Linked DNA regions of Drosophila melanogaster. Changing the gene in region 3 together with the main gene of any one other region gives a genetic interaction. Each region holds a gene or a part of one and is shown on either strand. Other genes may lie near its edges.

Region 1 (7,882 bases), on a different chromosome or scaffold from region 3:
ATATATCACTATTTACCCAACTGTGCCCCCCTCCAAAGAGTGCTTTATTACCCCTCGAAATACTCGACTAATCGCCAAAGTACACGCCGTTTAGTCTGGCACAACCAGAATGTGCAGATACGGATGGTGGAATACGGGGCAATTGTCTATTTTTAATATCTTATCGGAGGAATTTTTATTAACCGTGTATTGTTCTGCAAATATTAATTAGTTTCTGTGATTGTACAACAAAAAGGGAAATTGCTCTGTGGCTCTTTGTGAGTGTGTGTGTGTGTGCGAGTGTTTGCGTTGCGTGTCATGGCGAAATTATCATTCTTTTGTTGGTGTGACGCAGAGAATGGGTCCCCACACATCCCTTGACTGGATTCCCATGGAATCGTTATTGGGGGGGCTGGTGAAATTGCAATCGACAGACGCTGCGATGACGCATGCTTTTTCCCAGCAGCTTACGGGTGAGTTTGTATCTGTGTGTGTGTGTGAGTGCGGGGTGCGTGCGTGTGGGCCTAGACATATGGCGACAAAGAGGCTGACGTCATAAGCTATCCATCTAACGGGGGAAATGGAAATGAAAATGGAAAACAGAAGCTGGCAGACGAAGAAACTACCCCCAAATGCGTGTCAAGACTTTGGACTTGGACCCACCAGTGCCTTTCGAAGCCCACCAGTAGTGGGCACTTGGGCACTTGGCCTGGCCCACTTTGCACAGCTGCAACATCTTGCCGCGGCAGACAGCAAGCAGCGGCAGCAACATGTCCCACAGCCCCACATCCCACGCAGGCAATTAAGAACGCGACTTGGCTATTGGGTTACACTTAAACTTCACTTCACTTCGCTCCGCCCGTTCGGTTTCGTTTTGTAGTCAGCATTTAAAATTATTTATTAGAAGCAACAGTCGGACAGGCGGTGTCACAAGGCGCGACGTTCGGGGGGGGGCATTTGGCGCTAGAGGGGGGTACGGAGGAGATTCGGTCGTATCAAATGTTTTGCTTTTTGCTTCTCAGTCTTCTTTTTTTCGCTCGCTCTTTGGTCTTCTGTTTTGGGTTTTGCCAAAACGAAACGAGCCAAGCCGGCTTGTTTAAAAAAGGGGGTTTTTGAATCAGGGGCTTCGGAGCGGGCAGGAGGAGGAGGGGAGGGGGGCATACATGGGTGGCGAGGGGTGTCTCCTATATCGTCTGGCGCTTGGCGACAGCAATTTACCTTTAAGCGAATGCAAAAGTATGCGGAGAGCCGAAGAACAAGCGGCGGAAAAAGTAGTCGCAGCCGCACACAATTACCCCACTAGAAGAATTCTTCGTAGAACGGGAATCGGGAGCGGAGAGCGGGGATTGGGGAATGGGAAATGGGTTCTCTATAGCTGGACCATCTCTATAAATAAGTTAAAAGTCGCTGGCCGAACCAGCTGCACCATAAATCATAAGCAGACGCGCGAGTGTCGAGTTATTATGCGATCATATTTTAATTGGTGGATTATTATTATGCAGGCAGTGTTGCAGACCGCAGTCCCCCCCCCTTCACCCCCTCGACAGCATAATCAAGTGCAGCAAACAAACAAACAAAAACACCTGCAAAGACACCAGTTGCACTGGCTGCTCACCTCTCCAGGTGAGCGTGCGGATTGCAGATCGCTCGCCTCGAGAGTCCCGTGTGTGGAGCAGAACCGAATCCCCCCAAGATTGTGGACCGCAGATCGGGGATCGCAGACCGCCTGGCTCTGCTGTGCTTGGACAGGTGCGTGAACGTGGCCAGCGGGAGCGAGAAAGAGTCGCAACCCGAATCGTACCCTAACGTATCCGAACAGGGAGTACCCTGGAAAGCACGCTCTTCTAAGTCCTTTAGAATCTGAATACATGTATTACTTAAAGGATCTAAGATAACGCAGATCAAATTAAATTGGAAAATAAATCATTTTAAGTTTCGCTTTTCTGTGGGCAAGTTACTAGAGTTAGTAAGTTAGTTATCATGCCTTTCTCAACCCCAAAAGATTCACTCCATCCAAAGGACTTTCTAACTTCAAAACTTGTAAAAACTACTTTCTGCCCATCTTCATTCAAGAGTTCCCCAACTCGTGCTAAGCAAACAACATCATCCACTTCAATTACCCTTGATCCAAGGGTATAAACACATAGTTTTTTTTTTAAACCAAATTCACATGCAGTTCGTAGTTGTAGTTGCAGTTGTTATTGTTGATGTTGATGTTGGTCGGTGGACAGAAGGGGCAAACGAGTTGGCCCCGCCGCCTGTGTATGCCAGTTGTCAGTTGGCAAAACTGGTATGGTTGCATTTTTATTATAAAGCGAACAGAAACAACAACAAAAAGCGACACCTAGGCAGTACGGGAAAGTCCGTCCGTTTGTCTCTGCCACTGCAAGTCAGGGATCGGAGGATAGGGGATTGGTTTGGATAGCTCAAGGATGGGAGGCTTGGGGACGCCGAATGGGAATGGGAATAGGAATGGGGACTGTCATCCATGGGCTGGTGTGTCGCCAGTTTAGCCCAGTACGCGAACTGCTAGTCAGACGTCTGTTCTATGGACGTTTCATGGACATACCGGCGCACATTCGTATTAACCCATGTAGCTTTGGCTTACTACCTGCCCCGCCCCCAAACGTATCCCAATCCCAATTGCAGTCCCCCCTGCAAAGAGCAGTTATTACCAGTGTTATTTACACAGAGATAAATGAAGAATGTGACGAAAGAAAATACGTTAAAACTAGCAAGATATTAGCAATCAAAGATACAGTATGTTGTATTCAAAATACGAAACAATGGTAATACATTTGATAAAACAGATATAAATTTGAACAGAAGTACTTGGATGCATTGAAAATGCTTAAATAATATTTCTTTCCGTGCATACTTTATTGGCTCTTATGTTTGCGTTTCGGTTTGTGTCTCCATTGCCCCAGCAGTCGTAATTTGTTTTGGTGTCCTTCTGCCAGACTGTCCTCCTAATGAGCCAGTTTATTGTATTTCCTATTTGTGGCCCCGTCCACCAAGCGATGACACTTTTTATGGCTCGATGAGGGTAATACAGGAAATGGCCTGCGATTAGCTTAGTGACAATTCTCGCTGCAATTGAAGTTTCAGCTGCAGTTGCAGTTGCAGCAGCAGCTGCTGCAGTGATTTATCATCTTTGCAGCCTGACAGTTGGCCAGCTTATATATCTATATATCACCTGGTGATATTTGACACATCGTTACTAATTGGTTAAACAATATGTATCACCGCTGACTCATGCCCGGCAATAGATAAGGTGTTTTGTGCTCATGCACCCGATCTGCGGCACTTTGTTTAATCGCTCACTTAGTTGGTAGCTGTTAAGCGGCTTAAAGTCGTTCTACACACTCGAAATGCTCACTTAGAACGCCTCAATGGTTTTCGAATTGGATTTATTAAGCCCAAACCAAATGGCTGTCGGGCAATTAAAGCCAACTATGATTTCCGCCTTTACAAAATGCTATGCAAATGTTCTCAATTAAATGCTGGCCCGGACACTCAAACATATGTTTGCTTATTCGCAATTTGATCGGCTTTTGATTTCGAATTTACAACTTTTAATGCTTGGCAGTAATCAATTCGAAGGAAATCAAGAGAGAGAGGCGAGAGCGAGTGCCAAATGTGATAATAGAAACCAAACAATTAAACAATTTTCGCAAAATGTTGAAACAACAAAGGCAGATAGCACACACGTTCGCAGATACACACAGATAAGTGAAATGTTTATATGTTTCGCATTATAATAAAACAAAATCGCACTTGGCATTATAGCAACAAAGAATCGGGGAATCTCCGGATCAGGGAATCGGGGAATCGCGGAATCAGGGAGAGGCAAAGATTAATTACAAAGGAAAAAGTAAAGACGCAAAGTTTACCCGTAATTACACTTCCAGATTTCCAGATGAGGTGCTTCTACTGCTGCTGCTGCTGCTGCTGGTGGCAAGAAATCGGCGGAATCGAAAATTAATTATGCTTGACATGTTGCCAGCGATCATCAGTTCGCCTCTTGTTCTTGCTGTTATTGTTGTCGTCTAGTTGTTGCTGTTGTTGCTGCCACTCGAACCGATATAAATCGCATTTTCAATTGCCTGGGCTTGGGTCTATTTTTTATTTGTATTATTTTTTACGTATGTATGTATTTCTACGCGAAAAAGAGAGGCCACACCGCGTTTGGAAAGAGACGAAGCACTTAGAACTCACTGGCGCATAATTTATTTGAGCCGGCGCGCGCCTTTCATTTCAATTCCCATTTCCATTTCGATTTACATTTGCATTTCAATTTCAATTTGATTGCGAGTACTTCGATTCGCTTGCCACAGATTACGCATACGCCACGTTGTGTGCGCGCTTGTCCGTCGACGCTGTCAAAGGTTCAATTTCGCGCCGTGCCGCAATTGCAATAAGCATTCAATTCAATGCAATTCAATGAAATTGCGCGCCAATTCGCCGGACCCACTGGAAAACGCTGCTAGCCAGTGTTAGTGGAAAACGACGCATTAGCGCACGCAGAAAATCAGAAAAACAGAAAATCGCACAAGTCTGAATATCAGAAATTCAAGCTAAGCCCCGCATTAAGATTCAGTCGCGTTGATAACAAACTTCAAATTCGTTTATGTTGTTTTCTATTTGAATTGCGTTCGGACTACGTATTTTATAGTAATTACGCTCCACCAGCGATCGTTGTCTCGTGTGAATCGGCGAACGTGAAAATCGCGCGCGAGTTTTCCCCTTTTACGGCTGATAGATTTTCCTGGCCAGCAATTTACAATTTCGAGCCACTCTCGAGCGCTTCTGGAAAACCGCACCGCTCGCGTGCGCAGCTAAAGTTGAACTGAGCACTGCAAGCGGAAAAAACGCTGAGAACACTGAGAAAACGCTCGTCTGCGTTCGGGCTGGCCTTCGTGTCGGTGTCGCCGAGCCGAGCCGAGCCGAAGGCGAAGCAGCGCAGCAGCAGAGGATTGGGGCCTCGTTTTTGGGGGCTCGCACTTTGCTGCGATTTTTTAGCGATAAGGGGACTTTTCTGGTGTTGTTGTACAAACGCTAGTTGCCTTCTAAAGTTTTGAACTAATTGTTATGCTTATAGTGATTCCTTAAAAACAAAATACTAGTAAAATATGTTTATAATATTTCATTGTCTACGATAATTTTGAGATAATCTAGATTTTATAGAGATAGTATAGCCCTAAAAAGTTAACAGTCAATGTCTACTAAATTAAACATGTCGTAACATGTTTGAGATGTTAAGATATTCATATCCAACTGTACCCAAATTTCAGGGCTGCCGACTTCAAAGGCGCACTCTTCACGAATTGCAATTGAAATCGAATTTCAATCTACATTCACACATTCCTAAGCGAAATGAACACCTCGACGATGGCAAAGTGTTAACAGGGCGAACATGAGAAGCGACCCCCCCCCCCCCCTGCGCATTGGGTGGGAAATCAACACACCTTAGTAGTCGCATGGTAGGCAAATCAATTCAATGCGATTCGTTTCGATTCAATTCCGGGAACTTTTGCCAATTAGAATTTGTCAACTGGCATTCCGCGCTGTCTGCCTCGACTTCTTTGTTTTGATAGTTCACGGAGGTATTTTCCCGTCTGATAAAGGCATTATTCGGCCGTAGTATCAATTCGATTGCTTTCCACTCGAACCATGAATGAATTGAAGTTCAAAAGCCTGCTGATTAGATCAGTGTGTGTCAGGTGGAATTGAATGACTTTGCAGTCAGGTGAAATTATCACCAGAATGGCATGTACATATGATAGTGTAAACTTGAAAATAAGGTGCTATAAATGACAAGGAATTTCACAATCCATACCAATAGCAATGAATCATTGCAAGTAATAAAAATTTTTTAAGCTAACTAAACTAACCAAAGGCGTGGGCTAAGTTCTAGCTAAGTTACCTGGGAGCTCTTTAGTTTTAGTTGCACTATAAATCGTAAGCAGCAGTTCTTTCCCACAATGAATGAATGAATCCATTCATTATGATCCCCAAAGCCGACGTGACTGCAATCCGAATTGTGTCTTATGGTATTTGTCTCGAATGCGATAATAGCACTTAAAGCTCTTAAATGCATTTGGCAGATGATGAGACAGAGACGGTGGTACAAATGGTGGCGAGTTTTCGAGACCCTGGGATAATTCACACTTAACCCGCAGCCAAATCAAACTGCCAGCCATTTGACATTTATGCGATGGCCTTTTTTTGCATGTTTTTCTTTTTTGTTTTTTTGGAAAAGCTGCCGCGGCACGCTAGGAAAATGCCACGGAGTTGCAGCTGAGCTGGAGATGATTTATGCACTCATTGTATCTGTAGTTGTGGCTGGAAAATTGCAGTTATCACGAACGAAGCTCGGTTTGGATTATGCTTCGGTTTCAGCTTTGCTTATGCTCTTGGTTTCAGCTTTGGATTTGGAGATAGAGATGGAGTTTCCCAGGCCATGGATTTTGTCACTGGAGGTTGCCTAGTCATTATTTATGAGGCGAACGGTGCAATATGCAGCCAGGTGGGAACCGTGACGCAGTCTGTAAAATTAAATAATTGCGTTTCATTAAATGCCGTTTGCTATTTGCATAGGTTCCCCCCGCATTGCAAACAAAGTGCAAAGCAATTTGGCATAAACGTCATCGGGTCGAATTGCTTAGTGTTTGGGTGGATGGGGAGGTAGACGGTGGGCGGTGGGCAGTGGGCGGTGGTTGGAAATCTGAGAATCCCGCCCCACAATTTTCCACGCCACTTGAGCGTAATTAAGCGTTGAGCTTCTAAGCCCTAAGCAAATAGGCAAGCCGTCGAGCGTCTCCAGCCCCAAAACCACCCCCCACATTTGGTGCGATTATCCACAGCCTATATGCTATATATATACGATTGCGAAGCAGTTTGCGCAGCGAATCGATGCTATTTTGATACTGGTAAATATTTGCAATTGGCCAATAAGTGACTCGGTCGCTGTTGTGCTGGCTATTTCGGGATGAGCGTCAGGTGAGAATAATCCCAATTCCAATAGCCCAAGCTCGACCGAAGTTGTGAAATAGTTTGCACCCAGTCAAAGAGTCAACAATCTATGGGGGATCTGGTCGATCTGGGCATTTTCCATAAAGTTATCACGCGCACATCGAAAACCAACAGCCTGCTCACAAACAAGCTGCTCAAATTTCCCTAATGGCGCAGAGTTCATTTGCCCCATGGAAAGCGATACCTACATACATATGTACAAACATACATATCGGGTCCACAGAATTGGAAAAGTGGCTTCAAGGAGCAAATTGCAGGGAGATAACTGCGGACAAAGATCAAGTGCCTCCACTTCAAAAATATATTGTACACTCCCAATGAAAAGAATAATTACAATGCAAAAATAATATACAACACATTAAATAGAAGGCCAATTTTTGTAGTCCTTAAATTCTAATTAAAAATTATTTAGAAAATAATTGGGTAAATTATTATACTTCATAGATATGAATAGATTTTAAATCTTCATTCAAAGTGAATTAATTTTTTTCCTCTCTGTGATGGCCCTCCTTGTCCCATTCCAGAACGACACCCCCCACCACCCCGGAATGTTTACACAGGCGGCACGACATTAACACTGTAATTAGGTGTATCCAGTGTATCCACTGCGACATACGAGTATCAACAACACATTGTCAACTTCTTCTGGCTTCTGGCCGGGCTAATTGAAAAGCTCTTTTGCACATGTCCATTTATCTATATAACAATAATGTGGGCGGTGGGCGTGGCCGGGGTCAGTGCATTGCCAATTCGAAAGGGCTGGCCAAGGGGGCGTGGCCATTTCGTAGTATTACTTACCGTTGCCTGGGACAACGTGCAACAATACCCAATATGCGTACAGTTTCAGGGGAGTGGCTCTAAAACTGTT
Region 2 (8,180 bases), on a different chromosome or scaffold from region 3:
CTGCAGACCTTGTTCACCCTTCTCGCCGTTAATTCCATCTCGTCCATCGATTCCACTGCGTCCCTGGTCACCCTTCTCGCCTGGCGGACCAGCACGACCGTGAACAGCCAGACCGGGCAAACCCTTCTCTCCTGGCCAACCGGGCGTTCCGGCCGGACCTGTATCGCCGCGGAGTCCGGATGGACCGGGTTCACCCTTTTGTCCTTTCTCGGAGGCATCTCCAGGCAAACCAGGAGGTCCATCCAGACCGGGGAATCCTTGGTTACCCTTTTCGCCAGGCATACCGTCCAGTCCTTGTTGTCCAGGGGCGCCTGCCAATCCTTGGTCACCCTTAATGCCCATCAGTCCAGGAGCACCTGGAGGACCGCGGCCTCCCACAGGTCCATCGTTGCCAGTCAAGCCAGTAGCGCCCTTGTCACCCTTGGCACCTGAACAAATGAAACCAAATGGTTCACATCAAATGTTCGAATGGGATACTGCAAAAACTTACCGGAAACTCCGGGAATACCAGCAGGTCCGCGCTTTCCGGGAGCACCAGTAACGCCAGCAAAGCCCTTGGGTCCGTCATTTCCAGGAGCACCACGGTCACCTTTGTTACCGGGCATGCCGACCAATCCGGGACTGCCGGGCTCACCCTTGGCGCCATCACGTCCACGCACACCATCAATACCAGGAACACCAGGAGGTCCGGCAACACCAGCGGGTCCGATCGGGCCCACGTCTCCCTTCTCACCAACAATTCCGGGACGTCCAGATACTCCGGGCAGACCGGCATCGCCTCTATCTCCAGGATATCCCACACTGCCATCGGCACCGGGAAAACCAATGGGTCCGGTTGGACCACGGTCGCCCTTCTCACCTTGCAGACCATTGAGACCGGGTGGGCCCATAGGGCCGGGTCTCGAAATACCAGGCTCTCCCCTCGGTCCAGGCTGTCCATTGCGTCCGGGAATGCCGCGAAGGCCGTCCTTGCCAGGATTACCAGGTACTCCGACAGCGCCCTGGTTGCCCTTTTCACCGCGAGGTCCATTCAAGCCGCGGGGTCCTTCAACGCCAGGAGGTCCCTGTGGTCCAGTGTTGCCCTTCAATCCGGTATAGCCCCTCTCTCCCGGGCTGCCGTCTTCTCCCGGAGGTCCTGGCATGCCGGTTTGGCCGGGCTCACCCTTGTTACCCTTGGCGGGCATCTTAATTTCGTCAAGCGCACAGCTACCGGGCTCTCCCTTCTCGCCGCTTCGGCCAAATGATCCCTTGTCGCCCTTTGCTCCGTCCCTTCCATGGAAGCCTGGCTCGCCCTTGATGGATTGACCGGGAATTCCGGGGTATCCGTCCCGCCCAGCGCGTCCGGGTGTTCCGTCGTTGCCGGGTGCTCCGCTCAAACCCTTCTCACCCTTGAAACCGAATTCTCCTTTGGGTCCAGGGATACCAGGCAGACCTTCTGCTCCCTTGAATCCTTGCACGCCCTTTGCACCTGGCGCACCAGGGTAACCCTTGTCACCCTTCAATGGCTCAATCAAACTCAAATCGCACAGAGCAGGTTTGCCAGGCTCTCCAGTTGCTCCGGGAAGACCAGTGCGACCGTCCTCTCCCTTCTCACCAGGCGGTCCAGTTTGTCCGTTGATTCCATCGTGTCCACGCTCTCCGGGATATCCGCGCTCTCCAGGCGGTCCTCGTGCGCCATCCTTTCCGGGAATTCCAGGCAGTCCGCTCGTTCCCTTATCACCCTTTGGTCCGGCCCTGCACGATGAGCATTTGCCGCCGACGTCACCCTTGATACCCATGTCTCCCTTTTGGCCAGGAGTGCCGGGACGACCAGCGTCTCCCTTTTGTCCAGGAGCACCAGCGGCACCGGGAGTTCCAGGACGACCCAGCTTGGAGTCACCGGGAGCACCAGCATTGCCCTTGAAGCCGCGCTCTCCCTTGCTACCCTTTAGTCCGGGATAACTAGGACGAACGAAAATTAATTCGAATTAAATAAGATCTTTAATGAAGGAAAGTAAGAACAGGACTCGGCTCCACAGTGGGACTCGACTGAGTGCTAGGACTATTAAATGAATCATTGCACTTACCCAGGTATGCCAGCATCTCCCTTAGATCCTTGAATGCCATAACCGGGCAAACCGGCGTCACCCTTCTGTCCCTCTGGTCCCGGTGGTCCTGGGTGTCCAATGGGTCCGATGGATCCCTTTGGTCCATTAAGTCCTGCGGTTCCCTTTTCTCCCTTTTTGCCAGGAGGTCCCTCGTTGCCGGGGCGACCGGGCAGACCAGCACCTCCCTTTTGTCCATTGTATCCCTGAGGACCCGGTAGTCCATCAACTCCGTTTAATCCCTGGGGTCCAGGTGCGCCAACATAGCCGCGGGGTCCTTTGGGTCCCGGGGGTCCTGGTGTTCCACGGCCACCGCCTGGCGGTCCCGGAGGACCGAGCAGACCAGGCTTACCTGTCGCTCCAGCACGTCCTGGCTCACCCTTCTGTCCGGGATTACCGGGCAGACCATTAAGGCCCGGCTCGCCACGATCTCCCTTTTGTCCTGTAGATCCTGGGGGTCCAAAGTTACCTTGGCGACCCTGTACGTATATATTTCATTATAGAGGTTTCAACTTCCACTTCGATTTGGAGCCTTAAGTATGAACTCGACTTACGCGATCGCCTGGGCCGCCGGGCAGACCCTTCTCGCCCTTCTGTCCATCGAGTCCAGTGTCGCCTTCAGGTCCGGGCTCACCCTTGCGGCCAACTAGGCCAGGCTCTCCCTTCTGTCCCATATCGCCGCGAGGTCCCATCACCGTGTGGGTCGGTTTGACGGGAAACGAGGACGCGGGCTCACCCTTCTCGCCCTTGATACCCGGTGCACCAGGCTTCATGGGTCCGTAGCAGGAGGCACCCTTCTCTCCCTTCAGACCGTGCTCACCCCGGGGTCCTTTGGCTCCGTAAGGTCCACTGTCGCCGCGCTCGCCCTTTTCTCCAGGAAATCCTTGTGGTCCAGCCAAACCGGCAGTCCCCCTCCAACCGGGCTCACCCTTCTCGCCCTTCGCGTAATCACCGTTCTCCTTTGCCGGTTCACCCTTCTCGCCCTTGCTGCCAAGCTGGCCGGCATATCCGCGAGGTCCGGGCATTCCGGATAGACCCTCCAAGCCAGGAATACCATCCTGTCCGTCGCAACCGTCTTTACCGTTGATACCAGGGGCTCCGGGATTGCCGGCGGGTCCCTGGACTCCGGGTACACCAGCCTGACCATGAAGACCAGGCGATCCGCGCTCACCCTTATCACCACGCTGTCCGTATGGGCCGGGATCACCCTTCTGACCCTTGTCACCAGATGGTCCCTCCATGCCAGGGAAACCCATTTCGCCCTTCAATCCCGTGGGTCCAAGAGGGCCCGGCAGACCACGGTTGCCCTTCTCCGCTATGCACTTGGGCACACAGCCCGCATATCCGGCCGTACAATTCTTGGGCGGCAGATCGCCGCGCGCCACGCCGGCAGAGTCTACAATGTCGTAACTGTCGTCGATTGGGAACTTGGGTTCATTTCGATTGTAGTGTTTCACGGAGTCCTGAATCGAACCGGCCGTACCAGCCGTCTTCCAAAATTGCTGCGGGGAAAAGGAGTATATTATTCAATGTCCAGATGGATGGCATGGGCTACGGTTATCTTACAGCGTCGGCACCGACTAACGCTCCCGCGATCACAGCGGCGTATAGCAGCCTGCAAAGAAGTCGACGAAGATCAGGAGGGTTAGGAACTGTGCTTCGTCTTATCAGTCTAGCTATTTAATTGGACATAGCTCTCTTCGATTGGCAGCTCTCTCTTAAGCCGTCAATTCAAGAGAGTTTGCTAAAGGCGCTTAAGAGAGAGCTTACAAGTTTTTAAGAGATCGCGCTTCGAAAAATTAAAAAAAAATTGAACAAATGTGATGTTTTAAATTATGTATTTTTGTATTGCTGATATCTAAAATATTAATTTAAAAACTAATATTTGCTCTTTCTGAATGGATTAGAAAGAAAAAAATTGGCAATACTTTTTTAGGCCATAACTGGGTTTTAATCATTAAAAATTTCAAAAAAATTTTAAATTTTTAAATAGAGTATTATTAGTTGTTAAGTAAGTATTATTGTCATGGTTTTTAATAATTAACAATTGCTTTCTTTGATTAACTTAAATTTTTGCAACCATTTGTATTATTTTTCTAACTTTTGTCATTTTTCTTACCGCTTCCAGAAGGGCAACATGATGCCCTATGCACTTAAGCCTGCACAATTATTTGCTCTGTCCTCGTCGAATTTGAAGTTTATATGTTGCCGTCGCTGGGCCTGGAAAGATGAGCCAGAGAATTGGGCACTTTAATTTCGCAACAGTTGCAAAATAAATTGGAAATATTCTTAGAGGAATATTATTTTATTTAATATTTGTGGGAAAATCGAGCTGGCTTATTTTTTTTCAACGATTTAATTCTTGTATTTCGTTTCATTTCATTTCCAAGCATATACACGCGACAGTTTGAGAGGCACTGGAACTGGTACGAGACTCGCACAACGACTTGCTGGATATTTTCAATTAATAGTACGCGTTCTTCCTGATTTAATTAAGATATTTTATGTTTATATTATTTTGTTGTTGTAAAAGCTCAGTTCCTTACAGGAATCAAATCCTATTTAAGGGACGGTTGGACGGGACGGGACGGGACCCTAATGGAAACACACATTCACAACCGAGCGATCCGATCCGAACCGATCACCACTCCACAGCGCTGACTAAAGACTAAAACCAGCTGGCCAGATCAGCTCCGGACCGAGACCAGACTACTACTTACTCGGGGAGACGGAACACGACTAATTATAGTATAAGTTCGAGCGATCCAAAAGCCAAACGCCGATGCCCCGATCTTCACTCGTCGATCGTTCGGCTTGGCACGATCTCGACGATCGGGTCTACGGCTCATGTACACTATCCGTGTGATTCGACGGGGATTGGATGGGCATCGGATCGGTTGCGATGGCTGCGAGGTGGCTGGTGGGAGGTGGGTGGTGGCACCATGGCATATAGAACGGATGGGCGACGGGTCGTCGTATGTAGCAACACTAATCCCACAAGTTAACATAGTCGCTGCGGAATGAATGAAACTTGGCGATAAGTCCGTCGCTGCTGTTGATATGCCACATGCGACTTAAGTTGCTCAATAGCACATCAGCTTCGTTCCGCCGGAGCACCTCCCCGGGAGCACCTTCAACCAGCTCTCCGGCTCCCAGATCCCAGCTTCCAGATCGCAGCTACCAGCTCCCATCTCAAAATTAGCTGATAGCCCCCGCCCTGAGATCGGGCACATGGCTTCCGTTTTGGTCCGCCCCTGCGGCTCCTGCTTTTTGGACTTTTTTCGGTGCTCGGGCAAGGGAAATTCCGAAGGCTTCGCTATCAGGCCAATGTTCTAATTATAACCTCATCAAAATTTTGTGTGTACTTACAATAAGTATGATAAAAATATCTAAAACTTAAAGGATAACAAAAACATGTGTAAACATTTTATTGGCATATACTTTACTTTTAATAGGATTATAGTCCTTTTCTAAGTTTTAAAAATATTCTCTAGCTTTCAAAACTGATATAATTAATTTGACAAAGGTTTTGAAGATTAAATCTCTTTTTAAGCTTTACTTGGTATATTTTTATTTGCTATATATAACTGATTATTCAAATCATTCCATTCTTTTCTAAAACAAAATATTTTAGTTTGATTGATTTTAGTATGTCGATGCAATTATTGTTTCAAAGAATGGTCTTTTTTCGATTTTTTTTGTATCTATCTACGCTTTATTAAAACTAAATGTATCTTAAATGAAATTTCATTTTAAGTGCCAAGTTTTATACATACTTAAAATAATTATTGTTATTTAATTAATAATAATTATTGAGATCCATTCATTTTGATAGTAAGTACGACATAATACTTACTAATACCGCTCTAAACATAAATTAATAAGATTTTAAGTTGCCGAAGTGCGACATCATTTAATATCCTAATCACAGCAGTTTCCTGAGAAGACATATATTCAGGCCACTGGGCCATATCCGACTTGCACGTACCCTAGAACAAAAGAGCTTTCCCAACTAGAACGAGGCCTTGATTATAGCCGCCCTATCAAGACTTATTTCAAAACACTGTGGCCCCGAAACCCAAAATCAGGCTCGAATTTCGAAAGGTTCCCATTTGGCTTTTCTGCGTCGGACTTATTGGAGCTTAAAACTCATGTTCGGTTTTCAGTTGATCAGTAGTTCGTTCTAACAGGAAATACTCAGCCATATCCGTCTTATCAGCCTCACATATGCCATATATGTAAGTACTAAATGAAAAAGCCTTAACCTAATCACGAGAAGCGCGACAAACAAACTAGCATCTAATTGTATTGAAATCACTAGGATAGCTGGGATTGAGTATTAGAATAGCTTTTACCCCGCAAGAAATATCGTGTGTCGCTAGTTGGAACTATCATTTAAGTTATATGCGGATGGTTATTATGTATAAATGGTATGTGCCTGTTAGTAATAGTTAGTAATAGTAACATTAATTAATAAATTATTTAATAATTTGTATTTTCCCAAGAGACGTGCCTAATAAAAAGAACAAAGTGAGAATCTGATTGATCATACCCCTTCAGGGATACGGTACCAAAATGGGAAATAGAATTTGTATGCTTAGAATCGGGCCGCTTTGATTTGGTTAGAGGGCTCTGCTCCTCATTTCCTCGTTTCAAGGCGTCAAAGTGCTAAATTCCGAACCATAACCAGAGCCCGGAGTCACATCTACATCCAAACCTCCATCCAAATCTCCATCCAAAACATCCATCCGGGCCTGTCCCTGGCCTGTGCCTACTACACTCACACTGCTGCAACTTCCACTTGCGATAGTATTGGTGGGCCGAGAGCCGATCGCGAACGGCCGAACTTTTACGAGTGGAGCCGAGCGTGCCGAGTGTGCGGGCGAAGAATTCGAATTTCTTTAGCGGGACTCGTGTTTAGTAATACTTCGAACGCTAGACGATCTCCACATGTGGGGAGAGTGCTGTGCCCGACGATCGCAGCAGCAGCAAATCAGCGTTTTCTGTTAGTTTCCCACACTTTTCCGATCGTCAACTCTTTAATACTTGATTTGCTAATGTCGGTTTTATTTGAGGGCATTTTATAAGAATCGAAAATTCTTCAATTTCTAATTTTATGCTTATTTCGTTGGCAGTTTCGTGTGTGTTTTAAGCGGGGAGAGACAGAGGCAATTAGATAGAGTGCGACATAAATACGTTGCGGATAGGACCAAAGGACCCAGCGAGGATGTTACCCAGAGATCTAAGGCATCTCTCGGGTCTTCTGGGCGTCGTTTATCTGTTGGGCAGCCTGGTTTCCGTTACCTTGGCGGATGGAAAGGTAAGTGCAATCGAAATGCTTAGTATAATATCCAAAAATTGACAGCTCTTTAAAGACTTGGATTGAGAAATGTATAGATTGTAGTGCAATAACTTTTTTCAACTTTTTTTTATGTCTTAAAACAACTTAGGAAATGATATTTAAAATAAGGCTCTTACTATTTAAAGTGCTTCTCAGACCATAACCGTTTGAATTTTATGAGATTGCTAAATACTAACCAAAGTGCTTGTCAAACTGTATATGCCTATTTCATTAACGCAGCATTTTTAAGTTACTTGAAGCTTATAACAATAATATTCTTAATTAACTTTGAAAGAAAATTATCATGTCCACCAATGCTCTCCAAACTGTATCCGTAGTCATTGATTTCGCATTTACATAGTATCAACCATAAACAACTATGTAAAATTGGGTCAGCTCGGAGCTCGACTCTTAATCACCGCTGCTATTGTTATTGTTATTCTGCAGCACTGCACTCTCTGATTTATTCACACTTCCGGCATGAAAACATCGCGTAGTTGCAACTCTTTGGCTTCGACAGATAATTCCTTTCAGCTCGTTCCCGATTCCGGGGGTTCAATGAAGTCCAAGTCCAGCTTGGGATCGATTATGTCATTAAATAATTTTGGCAACATAATTTTGTAGGTGAAGAGGTTGGCGATAACGCCCATTGATAACCCCCCTAATCTTTCAATTTGGAGGACATTGCTTTTTTGGCATACCAATTGTGGTTCGCCATTGAACGTTTCCGGCTGGCAATTAGAATTATATTTAAT
Region 3 (7,822 bases):
CGCATCTAGCATCTAGTATCCTCCTCATCTTCGTCTGCATCCTCGTCCACACATATCCACATCCACATCGTCGTCATGCCCATTCCTCGTTCGCATTCCCATTACCAGTCTCATCATCATTGTCACACGGTAAGAATTTAGATGGTTTTGGAAATTGTGTCAATGGGCTTAAATGTAATTAGATGTTAAAACATCTGAAAATATAATAAAGTAAAAATATAAGATAAATTATAAACATTTTAAATAGCATTTTAGTTAACTCCATATTGAAATTAATATTAATCTTTGGCAATTATGAGTTAAGATAACGAAGCCGCTTTTATGGTTTCTTTTATAAAAGTTTTACCATTCAAGATGTGCTGTAATCCGAATTTGCCAAGAATTAGCCATTGTTTGTTATTAACTACTATTGTTTCTTTTTTTTTAGCTCATTTTGATGAAATGTTTGCCGTGCAGTGGAAAGAGCAGCGGCTACACAATCAACTTCTTCTATTCTTCTATTTTTCTCTGGCAAGATCACGCGCCTCTATGCGATCGCTGATAAAATTCTATTTTTTTTTAGCCCGTCTGTGTTTTTTTGTTCTTGTTATTTTTTCAACTTTTTTGCGGATTTATTGTGTTTATATTGTTTTTTTTTTTTGACAGCATTGCCGCCGAACTGTGGCCATAAACATTTGCATTCGCTTGGATTGCATTTATTTATTGAATTTGCATCATGTGCTGGGTTCAATTTATAGGTAGCTATATTCGCTATTTATATATATAAATGAAATATATATATATATATATATATGTATATCTGTTTATAAGGATAAGCCCCGCACGTGCCCCTGACTTTATGATCGCGTGCTGTTTGTTTGCCCGTCGCTCTTTGTTTGTTTCCTTTTCCGCCGGCTTGTTTGCTTACCTTGCCAACTTGTTTGCCCCCCTTTTGTATTGCCCCACCCCTCTTCCCCCACCTCCTATTGTGGCCCCCCTTGGACCAACGCCCATGCCAAAAGGCACTAATTGCCGCCGCATTTGCAGCTGATTTGGCGCTAAGCGAATGCGAGCTGCCAGGCAAATATTTATGGGGTCATTCCCGTCTCGTGTCAGCCGCTGGCCAAAAAGCCAAAACAACTAAAACAGCTTCAATATCAGCTAGCTAGTATGGCCCTGAAGATTCCAACCGAGTTGCTAATTTAGTAAATAACAAATTTGATAACAGTGCGAGCAACCTGGTTTATCTACTAATTGTTAGCCAAGCTAAGTGGCAGGGATTGGGCAAATTTTATTGCAAAAACTGATATAAAAAAGGTGAAGCCTTTTTGTCAATTAAATATGTCATTTGCTTTTTATATTTGCACATCTTATGGTGCCTGAAAATATTTTCATATGTAATTATTGAACATCTATTTCTTAGCAAGCTGAGGAGAATTATATCAGCAATGTCAAAATTATAATAATAATATTTTTACAGAGTATGCCAGTTTGTCTCGAAAGCTTGAAGTGCGATTTTGAATATATTCAGTACAATCAATTAGTAGCTTATGACACATTTTATATATATTATGAATATTTATAATATATTTATTTCTATTCAATGCACTTTTGTGCCAACGGAGCATTGCCCAATTTCCATCGAAATCGCAGCCATTTTCGAGCTTCTCGCCAATTTCCATCACGTTGCAGTCTCGATCGCTTCGAAATATATATGTAAGTTGGAAATTCAGAAACTCAGAAAAACAGAAATTCAAAAAGTCGGGACTGAGACTTTGACGTTCGATCGTGACAGAATATGAATTGAAAGGGAAACCAGATTGTTAGCACTCGACTATGGGTATAGAGATGGTAGAGGTACTGGGCATGTCCATAAGGTTGGATACCGTTGTGATAGTGTGTGTATTCATAGTTACACACATTATCGAGCCAGTGAAAATGTTCTACACAACTTTGCTATGCTAGTGACGACTATTTTTAGACGTCCAGCACCACAGCACTTTGTTGGCAAAAATGCAGTAACAAAAATAAATAACTTGGCCAACAGTTAGTTAGTTGTTGTTTGCCTCGCCCCGCCGCACTTTTTTTTTTTGATGGATCATCGCCGTCGTGACGTCAGCAAATGTTGTTTTGTTCGCTGCACCGAAGGCGCAAAAATATTCGGCATATTTGTGTTGATCTCTAGCCGTCAAGCGTCATGAAACGTAATGGATACAGCTCCTTCCGCCTGGCCACATCCACGGCATTGTGGGCTGTCCTAGGTTAGTTTTCACTGTACTCGAGTCGAGTGGGCGAGGCCAAACGCCTCACTAGCCGCCAATCCCGGGCACGATTGGGCTGCCAAGAAGCTTTTGGCTTCCATGGGAAGACAGCGAAAGCCTTTAAAATGCCAAGCTGCACTGGGAAAAAAAAAACAATGAAGTAATGTAATTGGTCATGAACGAAGCTTTTGTAAATATACGCATTAAGCGATTTCTTTAAAATATATATTTTTTTTTACTTATGTAATAAAACTATTTTAAACTGTTTTTTAAAGCTTATAAGTGAAAATAAGTTCCTAATTATTAGAAAACTCAAAAGTATTCATTATTCATTACTTTTTTATCCTGAAAAGTTGAAAAGGGTTTGCAAATAAAATGAATATGATGAGATATTATGATAAATCACCTTTAGTTTCTAATAAAGCTACCAAAAAAGCGTTCTAAAGATATCCCTCGGAACCAAATGTATCTGAAAGTCGTAATATCTTAGATCCTAACGTAATGCTCTTGGAAATGGCTTTCTGTGGCTACACATACACATACACATGGCTACACAGCGATTTGTCGCCGCCGTGGAGAGGAAAGAAGAGGAAAGGAGAGGAAGGGAGAGGAGAGTCCGCTTGGAGCTGTCTATGTCTATTTTGCGAAAGGGGGAGATGGTAAGGTGAGCGATGCCGGCGAGAGTGGGTGGCGACATTGGGAGCGGAGAGTGATGGCACCAGAGAGAGAGAGAGAGAGAGAGGGAGATCGAGTGAGAGAGCGAACCGCTATGTCTAGATCTAGGTCTATATGATTATATGCTGAAAACTTCAGTTTGTCAAAGATCGCGACGACCGAACGAACGACGCTAGAGAAACGCGCACCGAAATCGATGACCAATCCAAACGATAACGATTGCCAGCCCGCAGGAGTCATTTCGAAAATTGCGCGCGCGTTTTTGGCGACGTATTGCATATAAATCATATGTATATGTCCGCATATACATATAAACGAAACGAACATATAGAACATATATTTCCATATCTCGATATTCTATTTCATTGTTCATTGTTGCCCCTATTTTTTTTTTCTTGTGAAACGTATGTATGTGCGCGCGTCTGTGGAATGGTGCAATTACAGTCGTAGTTATTGGTTTTTAATGAACCTCTTAAATTGCCATTGAGGAACGTGAAAAGTGCCCGAAAGCCCGAAACGGAAATTATACTTTACACTCATGATTATTAGTTGTGGAAATTGCAGCTTAAATCGCCATTAATCGACACACACATATGGGCGTGGGTGAATCGTTAAATAGTACTCATAGTGATTGCACTGCTACACTGCGTTTCGGCATGTTAAGTCTGGCCGTTTTGAGAAGCAATAACTATTTAACCGAATTCTTCTATTGCCCTTTCAATAACTAAATAACACACAGCGACTTGGCAACGAAATGCTAGCTCTAGAACAGATGAAGGTAATGATAAGAGTGTCTCAACAAACAATACAATCCTGAAACGCACTGTACCTGCAACCTGAAAGCTCTTGCCCCTCTGGATTATAAGTCCGTCACTTTCGGTTTTAATGATCGCATTGAAATGGAATGTCATCGACCAATTTCAATTCTAATTCCATTCCGATTCCGATTCCGACCCAATATCGTCGAGATCGAGGCGACACACGCCCCAAAAACGAGACAATTACCCAGGAATGGGGCATGATTTCTTTTATTATTACTGTGTTTAGATCGAATCTGACGCCAAAAGGGCGACCTAAAAAAAAAAAAAAAAAAAAAACCAAGACAAGAAAAAACGTAATCACAAAGAATGGGAAAAATCAATCGAACATCGAACATTCGATGCGGACCAGTTGCAGAACGGCAAAGGGGGCAGATCGGTGGATAGCTGGGATAGATAGACAGATATATACATAGATATATAGATAGATAGATCGATCGATCGATCGGGCGATCGGGCGATCGGGCGGTCGGGCGAATGATGAAATTTCCAGAGCGTTTCAATAGCAACCGGCAACAGAAAGAAAAAGCAACACCGACCGACAACGAACCATTTACAATTCCAATCGAATGGCAATTGTTGCCGACTTGCAGCATGATTCAAATCGAGGGCGTGACAGAGGAAATGGGGCGGGGGGTAAATACCTAGATTACCGTACTCGATGACGCAGCCCAGGTATGTGTAGGTACTCTCGATCGCTTGAAAGTCGACAGATACTCGCAGTATCTAGCGACAGTGATGAAGAGTTTAACTGCGCTCGGAAAATCCATCATTATCATGCCGCTGATATGATAACCAACCATTGAAATGGCTAAGCAACAATCTGTTAGTAAGATTGTATGGTGTTTTATTTCGATCATTAAGCTAAACTAAAACTTCCATCACTTAGTTCAAACTTTAGCTTGTCTCACGAATCCCATTCCGTCCATCAATTGATCAAACAATCGATCGCCGGATCGTTTGAGTTTGTTTGATCGTTCGATGATCGCGACAACAAGAAGAAGACGACCAAAATTTAACGATGTTGGCCAGTTGGCTAACTGCGGTTTTACTGCCACTTTACGTGCTGCTGTTTTGTCTGGCAAACAAAACATTCGCACACACATGACACACACACGGCACACATGACGTATACGCGATATTTTTGGCCTGCTCTCGCACAGAAACAGAAAGACATAGTGCGAGTGCGAGTGGGACGGGTGGACTGGCGAAGGGAGAAAGAGCTACACGGAATCTCTGTTGCTAGGGTGGCAGTTTGTATGGGGGGTTAGTCAGCTTATAAATAATGGAATATCATCTAGGTGCTTTCTGAGTGCCGCAAACTATGGTGAACTTTCGTACGATGGAACCTCCGGAAAATTACTCAATCGAATCGCACACAAATTTCCCGGAAATCTTATATTTCATTTAATGCTTTTAAGATTTTTTTAAGAACTTTGAACTTAGTAGTTGGTCTCCTTTCAACCTATTCACTTTTAATTTGTCCACTGTTTCTAACTGATTCACACAGATGTCTCAAATGATTGGACCTTCTGGCTTCGATGACCATCAAATCAATTGCATGTGACTGCAGTGAAATAGTACTCAACCACACACGCATAAGTGCATATTTATGTAGTACACTTGAAGAAATTGCATTGAACAAATAATTACAAAAGGAAAAAATATTTTAGGCAGTACGATTTATGGAAAATGCAAATATTTCTAGATTGAAAAAAAAACTTACTTTTCAGCTGTTTTGGCTGTTTAAACTAATGAAACACACCAATATTGATCTTCAACGTCTCCGAACTGTTTTTCGAAATCAAGAAAAGAGAATTTTCTCTCAGTGTGCGCATACTTTCTGGCCTGTTATGCAGTCAAAAGCCGTCACTTTGCCGCTTCTGTTTCATTTGATGTCTTTCTGTGTGCGTTTGCCGTTCGCCATTTGCCATTTGCCATTTAAATGAATGCAGGCAATTTTGCGCTGGTGGCTGCTGTTTTTGCTGCTGTTGTGATTTGCTTTTGATTGGCATCTAATTTATGATTGACAGTTACATTAGAAACATCTCGGAACAGCAAACAATCAGAATCGGGCCTACCGCAAGATCTCGCCAAGGCATCGAAAAAGCATCGCCAGTTGAAGCATCGAAGAGCTGAGACCTTATGGTCGGATATCGACTTAGCTCACGGTTGTCAATCAAGCTATTAAATAATTTACAAACAAACAAACACACACGCGAACACACACATTACATACATATAAGCACACACACACAGCACGCACACATAGATGAGCAGCACACTGAGAATCGAATTTATGAACTAACATCTTGATTTACGTAGTCTTCGCTGGCTGAATGCGGTTTGAAGCTTTGACACCTTGACGGGCATTGTCAAAGAGTTTCACACTCAGCGGCACTCGCACACACCGGCTACTGTTCTATCGGATTACGCGGCGTATGCGCAATGTGGCCCGAACGAGAAGCGATCGAGTATCGAACTGCCAGTTAAGGCGGCAAGTGGAAAATGCAGTTTATCAGTTAGTCAGTAAGTCAGTCAGTCGCTTAGTCAGTTGGGCAGTTAGCCAGCTGGTCAGTTAGTCGCTAAGTCGGCTAGTCAGTCTGTCAGTTAGTCAGTTAGTCAGTTAGTTAGTTTGTCAGTTTGTCAGCCCCCACAGAACAAAGTTGTCTGCCCGATATAGGCCACAATGTGGGGCTGTAAACAAAACTTGAACACTCGACGGAGCACTGACATAACCGCTCTGCAATCGACTGATAAGAAACTACTATATAATGTATATAGATACATATTTATATATATACACATATATATATGGGCTTGCAATTGCCTGGTAGGTGGGTGCCGTAATATTAATTGCCAATGAACCGCGAATGGAAAGGGGGAAATGAATCTGTCAATGGAAATATTATTTTGATAATGAAGTAAGGATGGAGTATTTAATTATCAATTTTGGCCTTATTACTTAAATGTAGTATTAAATGTAATGCAGTAAATGTAAAGTAGAGAACCAAAAAGTTACTTTTAATAATTTTTTGGTGTTTTTATCTACACATTTTCTTTAATTTGGTTGCAAAGTCTTCCCAGTTAGTTCAACGTGACCTTCTGGCTCCCGCTTTTCTTTTTGGACCGTTCAAAGTACAACTTGGCCGGAAAACAATGAGAACACACACTTTTACCCAAAGGAAAATGCCCAACGAACATTTTCACTGGCATACAAAGTGTATTTTCCATCGCCTCGCTGAGTGCGCACAGATTGTTCAGATATACTGGGCGACTATATGGCAATATGGCTATATCTTTGCATGGACATACATAGATATAGATATGCTGTGTGTGTCATGTTGCTGCTATGCTGGCGACGCTGGCGCTGACGCTGGCGTCGACGTCGGCAGAGCTAGCTAAAACTACATAAATCAAAGGAAAAGCATTTTTCTGTTTTCTGTTTTCTGATCGTCTAGCTGAAAATTTGCTTTTGTTTTTCGATTCATTTATATTTCTCGTAGTCGTTTTTCTCTTTGCTTTTCTTTGCGATTGTTGATTGCTATCGTTGTTGCTATTGCAATGGCATTTTGTACGCATGTTTCAGACATTTAACATTTCGTTTTTTTTTCGTTTTTTTTTATATAGACAAGAGACAGATATCGTTCATATACATTACACATAAATACATACATACATCTAGAGGCAGGCTTTTTGTATTTTTTTTTTTGTATTTTTTTGCGGCGGGGCCGTGAGGCCAAAACATTTATAGGAATATTTCAAATTGCAGACGACGACGCCTCAAATGAGGCTGACAAAAGGAAAAGCGACAAAAAAAAGCCAAACATAAATAAAGCTGAAGGGAACTATAATTGATGGTAGAGCCGGCTGAGATACCCTGTAATTTGGTGGCCATAATATCAAGCACTCGGCCGGGGGAAATGCCCATTAAAATGCTGCTCAAGTGTAACAATAAAATCACATTCTCATATGTTGCAAGCAAGTTTTAATTATGCATTAATTTATGAAAATTATTGGAAACAGCGAATGCATTATTTTCATTCATTTCATAGTCGAGTGCGTCGATTTGAAGAAAAAGTCCTGTGG

Evidence for each region. A genetic interaction does not mean that the proteins touch.
Region 1: of sog (region 3) and cv-2, changing one suppresses a phenotype caused by changing the other (phenotypic suppression), as found in Drosophila melanogaster (2 studies listed by BioGRID).
Region 2: of sog (region 3) and Col4a1, changing one suppresses a phenotype caused by changing the other (phenotypic suppression), as found in Drosophila melanogaster (one study listed by BioGRID).

Annotation. Positions count from the first base shown.
Region 1 is NT_033778.4:21,374,633-21,382,514, forward strand, and holds the start of cv-2 (crossveinless 2), read right to left. Parts: upstream 4,833-7,882; 5' UTR 3,873-4,832; intron 1-3,872.
Region 2 is NT_033779.5:5,026,261-5,034,440, reverse strand, and holds the start of Col4a1 (collagen type IV alpha 1), read right to left. Parts: upstream 4,833-8,180; 5' UTR 4,695-4,832; exon of another isoform or gene 4,631-4,694; intron 4,305-4,630; 5' UTR 4,224-4,304; coding exon 4,204-4,223; intron 3,700-4,203; coding exon 3,651-3,699; intron 3,587-3,650; coding exon 2,639-3,586; intron 2,564-2,638; coding exon 2,067-2,563; intron 1,942-2,066; coding exon 491-1,941; intron 429-490; coding exon 1-428. Other genes in the region: vkg (viking), read left to right, coding at 7,312-7,404. UniProt on the Drosophila melanogaster protein: Collagen type IV is specific for basement membranes.
Region 3 is NC_004354.4:15,628,680-15,636,501, reverse strand, and holds the start of sog (short gastrulation), read left to right. Parts: upstream 1-3,067; 5' UTR 3,068-3,693; intron 3,694-7,822. UniProt on the Drosophila melanogaster protein: Putative negative growth factor. Antagonist of dpp, a protein involved in patterning the dorsal region and in the development of the neuroectoderm; dpp inhibition is enhanced by tsg.